2 linked regions of the Kluyveromyces lactis genome follow. The protein of the gene in region 1 interacts with the protein of each later gene in a pairwise test. Links are inferred from orthologs where the notes say so. Each region holds a gene or a part of one and is shown in the gene's direction. Other genes may lie near its edges. The genes, in order: MAK16 and RPF1.

Region 1 (2,937 bases):
CAGAGAAGACGCAACACAATGATCGATTTTAGCGTTCGTGATTCACTCATTGACAAAGACTCCTCCTGCACCAGATTGGAAAATACTGATGAACAAATTCGTAATTTGTTAAACCAGTACACATTAACTGATTCAAGGCTTAAAATAGACAATTTAGAGCAACATATCCCGTTCATTCTGATGTATGATTCTAAATCTGTGGCAAACCAATTGACCTTGATTGAAAAGGAAATTCTATCTGAAGTTGATTGGAAAGATCTATTGGATTTGACAATGAGTGAACAACTTCCACAATTTACCAGTTGGCTGCAATTATTGGTACAGAACGAAAACTTGTCGGGTATCGATTTAGCCATAGCAAGGTTCAACTTGACCGTGGATTGGATCATTTCTGAAATCGTAATGACTCAGGACATAAGGTTGAGAAGGAACACGATCCAAAGATTCATTCACATAGCCGAACACTGTAAAGAGTTACAAAATTACAATACTTTGATGGAAATCATCCTTGCATTAAACTCCATTGTCGTTCAGAAATTCACTGAAACATGGAGACTTGTCGAACCAGGCGATCTATTGACTTGGGAAACGTTGAAGGCCATACCATCCCTGGAAAAGAATTACAGTAACATTAGACAATTAATAGACGAAGTCGAACCACTTTCTGGATGCATTCCATTTATCGTGGTATACTTATCGGATCTATCTTTAAACATTGAGAAACGTACCTGGATTGTACATGACGAAGTGCTAAATTACAACAAATTCCAAACAAATGTTCAAATAGTGAAAAACTTCGTACAGAAGATGCAATGGTCCAAATTTTACAACATTGATATTGACCATGAGTTGTTAAGCAAGTGTGTTTACATCACATCATTGTCCCATGACGAAATCAATTCAATTTCACATAAATCCCCAATTTAATTCTTTAATGTCGAGTAAAGTATTTGACATAGAACTAGTTAGTCTCAGTTCATTTCACCTCATATAATATATATATCAACACACGATTTTATCAGTTTCAAATAGTTTCATCCACATTTTTTTCGAACATATTTGAATGAAGGTTAATCTCTTTAGATCTAATCATGCATATTCCGACTCTTGATTAAGTTTCCGATTATAACAATAAAATATCATTGGTCATGTGACTAAAAATTTAGTAATCCATTTCTTTTTTCTCTTTCTGCCTGAAAATTTTTGAGAACTGAAAAATATCGATGCGATGCGATGAGATGAGATGAAATGAAAGAAGCAGCGACTAGCGGAATAGCAAGTAAACTTAGCGATAGTCATAACCAATTTAAATAAACTCATACTAAGCATAAACCAGTATCTGTAGGATTGACTGAACATTAGCAGATGTCTGACGAGATCATTTGGCAGGTTATCAACCAGCACTTTTGTGCGTACAAAGTCAAAACTGATAAGGGACAGAACTTCTGTAGAAATGAATACAACGTAACAGGTTTATGTTCGAGACAAGCGTGTCCTTTGGCAAATAGTAAATATGCCACTGTAAAGAACGTGGACGGAACACTTTACTTGTACATGAAGACCGCGGAAAGAGCTCACACGCCTGCTAAATTGTGGGAAAGAGTGAAACTATCTAAGAATTACACAAAGGCATTAGCACAGATCGATGAACATTTACTGTATTGGAACAAGTTCTTAATTCATAAGTGTAAGCAAAGGATGACAAAGCTTACACAAGTGATGATTACAGAGAGACGTTTGGCATTGAGAGAGGAGGAGAGACATTATGTCGGTATTGCTCCTAAGGTGAAAAGAAGAGAAGAGAACCGAGAACGTAAGGCATTATCAGCCGCTAAGATTGAAAAGGCTATCGAAAAAGAATTGCTTGAGAGATTGAAGAGTGGTGTGTATGGTGATAAGCCTTTGAATGTGGATGAAAAGATCTGGAAGAAGGTCATGGGACGTGTAGAAGACGAGGACTTGGATGAAGAAGAAAACGATTGGGATGAGGAAGAAGAAAGCGATGAGGGAGAAGTCGAATTCGTAGAAGATGAAGACGCTGAGGATGAGATGGTAGATATGGAAGATTTAGAAAAATGGCTCGGTGGTTCTGATACATCTGATTACAGCAGTGATGAGGACAGTGACGAAGACAGTAGCGACGAAGATAGCGATGAAGAAGAAAACCCATCTAAGAGACAAAAGAAATCTACACAAACCAGAAAGAGACATCCTAAGGTTGAAATCGAATATGAACAGGAACTAAATTCCAACCAACAAGAACTTGCACAATGATGCGTTTCTGAAAAACAGAGCTCGTCATGACCACATTTGTATACTATTAAATTTGACATATTATTATATTTATTGAAGATAAATTTCCAACTACGATAAAGAAGCAAAGGCAATAGTTAATAATTATATACACTTACAATAGCATCTCACCATCAATAGTATGTCCCCTTTCCCTTCATTTTGTTATACTGTACCCAAATAATGCATTCGAAATAGCAGTCACGTGGAAATATTGTTTCCATGCTGACAGTTTTTTCTTTGTAAATTATACCGGAAAATCCCATTAGGACACATTAAACAGAAAGATTCGTAAACCATTTGCACCATGAAACCCAAGTACTTTGAAAGGGAGATACAGAGCCAGAGAGGAGCGACACACCGATCAACCTGCTTTCCAATGAGTGGCTCAACTAAGCATGGCGACAGCGATGCGTTGTTTGATGTTGACTTTCTTGATGATAGCTACACCCCGGATTTACGGGATAGTCCAAGAAGGAACAGCCCAAGTGCAGTAATAGATTCAGGAATGGATACCTCACAGAGAGGCTTACTCCCACAAGAGACCATTGACCTCAGTGACAACATAGAGAACGACATTGAAAATCCTTTCAATGACCGTTATTCAGCATCCTTTGCAGACACTAACCCTAGGAATAGTGTCTT
Region 2 (3,001 bases), on another chromosome or scaffold:
ACTTGCCTTTGTTCGTCTCTCAAAGAGACTTGTACGAAGCTAGGGAACGTCCAAGTAGAACATTTTCTTGGCTGGCATTTATCTTCTCTCAAATCACCGTTGAAATTCCACTTAACATATGTTTTGGTACCATTGCCTTCTTCGTTTTCTACTATCCTATTGGTTTCTACAACAATGCGTCATATGCCGGTCAATTAAACGAAAGAGGTGTGTTATTCTGGTTATTCTCTGTTTCCTTCTACGTATTTATCAGTTCAATGGGTCAATTGTGTATTGCAGGTCTTCAGTATGCTGAGGCTGCAGGTAATATGGCATCATTAATGTTCACTATGTCCTTGAATTTCTGTGGTGTGTTTGGTGGTTCTGGTGTTTTGCCAGGGTTCTGGATTTTCATGTACCGTATTTCACCGCTAACTTACTTTATTGATGGTGTACTCTCAACTGGTCTTGCAAACAACCCTGTAACATGCGCAAACTATGAATACGTCAGCTTTAATCCAAGGAGTGGAGAAACCTGTGGTGAGTACATGGCGGACTATATTGACAAGAATGGTGGTTATCTACTAGATTCAAATGCTACGGAAGATTGTAATTTCTGTAAGATTTCTGAAACAAACGCATTTTTGACAAGTTTCCAATCTTCGTACCATAGAAGATGGAGAAATTTCGGTATTTTCATAGTCTTCATTGTGTTCAACTGGTGCGGTTGTGTTTTCCTATACTGGTTGGCTAGAGTTCCAAAGAAGAAGAACAGAGTGGCTGATGAGAGAGACCCAGATCATGGCAAGAAAATTGAAAATGTTCAAAAGGAAAAGGTTGAACCTCAATCCAATGAACAAGTTTAAGGATTTTTGCTTTTTGGCCAATTTTTACGTCGTTTACTTCTGTTTTTTTTTAACTATTAAACTTCATTTCTTATCGTGGGCTTGCGTTCTGCTTTAATATTTTGTTTATTCTGTATATATAGACCTGAATTGATATCTGGTTTCCCCATATATTACTATGGAAACCAAAAAAAGAAACTTCGATTGCATATAAAGTCCCAATATAACTCGATTGCAAGTACGAAAATTATTCAATTTTAGCATGGATCTCTGTTGTGGATGGTCGTTGAGGTAATCAAGATCCTTTGATGGGATATTCGTCAGCTCACCCTTCCTACAATGATTGCAGCGACGAATGTGAACTCTTTTCTTTTTATCGAAAATTAGCTTTCCAAAATTTTGAAAGTTTTTGTATTGATCAGATGAGATGAGATGAGATGAGATGAGGCTAACAAGATAGAAGTTGAATATAGTGGAACATAGCTAGTTATGTAGCTTATTCTAGGTCAAATAGCGAGGGTGCATAACAGCAAATCGGACGATACTATAATTTCAAAATGGCAGTGGATGAACTCAGAATAAAAAACAAGCAGAAGAGGCAAAAACTCTTTGCTGAGTTGAAGGATCAGCACAATAAGGAGCGTCATTCTATGAGGAGGACCAGAGCCAAGGAAGAACGTGAGAATCCGGAATTGAAGGAAAAAAGACTTGCTGAAAATGTTCCTGACACAATTGATAACCTCAGAGTTTACGATGAAACGATGGGTCAAGAAGTCGAAGGTGAAATGGATGATTTTATGAAATTTTTCAACGGTACCGAACCACCAAAGATTCTATTAACAACTAATGTAAACGCCAAAAAGAAGGCATATGAGTTCGCTAATATCCTGATCGAAGTTTTCCCTAATGTGACTTTCGTGAAGAGGAAATTTGGATACAAGCTGAAGGAAATCTCTGAATTCTGTAATAACAGGAACTATACAGATATCGTGATAATAAATGAAGATAAGAAGAAAGTAACGGGGCTTACATTTATTCATCTTCCAGAGGGGCCAACCTTTTATTTCAAAATAAGTTCTTTCGTCGAAGTCGAAAAGATCGTGGGCCATGGTAGACCAACTAGCCATATTCCAGAGTTAATCTTGAACAATTTCAACACCAGACTTGGTAAAACTGTGGGTAAACTATTCCAATCTATTTTCCCTAAGAACCCTGATTTCGAAGGTAGACAAGTGATAACGCTGCATAATCAAAGAGATTACATCTTCTTCCGCAGACACCGTTACGTTTTCAGGAACGAAGAGAAAGTAGGTCTTCAAGAACTTGGGCCCCAATTTACTATGAAACTCAAAAGACTACAAAGAGGTATCAAAGAGGAAACAGAATGGGAACACAAACCTTCAATGGACAAAGAAAAGAAGAAGTTCAATCTATGATATATTTGCATATATTTATATACAAATTCAAAGCCACCTGTGTACTAGTCCTGCACTTGGAGATTTATCAAAGATTTGACGGTATTATCATCACTACTCACGAGGCTGACGAAAAGTGGTGGCAAAATGAGAAATTCCTTGGCTTTAAAGAAAACAGGGCATTGAAACCTTTAAAGGATTTGGAATGTTTTGGGCTTAAATGAGTACAAGCCCACTGTTGAAAAGATTAATTGAAACAAACGGTTACTCTGTTGATCTGAAGAGGTGGTACACTAATTGCTCTTTAGGATTGTCATATTCTTGGTCATTATATTTGATCGATTGCAATCTAAGAAAAAGTATTTTTTCAGGCTGTTTGTTATTGTTGTTTTATTGGAAAGGAATTATTAACACGATCGATCACTGGGAAAGTAAACACTGACAGTAAAAACACTAAGCCACTTTACTCTTTTTTTTGTACACTGTTGCTATTACCTCTCTTTTGTTTTCAGCATCTTAACGTTGATTCTGGACTCATTTTGAAAACAACAGGAAATATCTGATCCAATTCTGTCTTGTAACTAAAGCGAATTGGGAGAATAAACACACTTGATATCATAGCTGTCTCAATTTACCACATCGGTTTCTGATATTTTGAATCACTTTTGATTCAAGAATTACGAGTTCTCTTAAATTATATTAGTTTATAAGCAAGAAAAGGGACTGGGCACAAGTAGAGCAATGGAAAATTCAGGCGCTTCT

Evidence for each region.
Region 2: the proteins of MAK16 (region 1) and RPF1 interact in binary tests that used the Saccharomyces cerevisiae proteins (3 or more experiments, as listed by UniProt). The link is inferred for Kluyveromyces lactis from reciprocal best matches to the Saccharomyces cerevisiae genes MAK16 and RPF1.

What each region holds. Positions count from the first base shown.
Region 1 is NC_006037.1:359,318-362,254, reverse strand, and holds MAK16 (ribosome biosynthesis protein MAK16), read left to right. Parts: upstream 1-1,365; coding exon 1,366-2,274; downstream 2,275-2,937. Other genes in the region: mitotic regulator LTE1, read left to right, coding at 1-927; aminophospholipid-translocating P4-type ATPase DRS2, read left to right, coding at 2,600-2,937.
Region 2 is NC_006042.1:2,011,996-2,014,996, reverse strand, and holds RPF1 (rRNA-binding ribosome biosynthesis protein RPF1), read left to right. Parts: upstream 1-1,381; coding exon 1,382-2,260; downstream 2,261-3,001. Other genes in the region: KLLA0_F21692g (pleiotropic drug resistance family ABC transporter), read left to right, coding at 1-845; karyopherin MSN5, read left to right, coding at 2,981-3,001. UniProt on the Saccharomyces cerevisiae protein: Essential protein. Required for biogenesis of the 60S ribosomal subunit.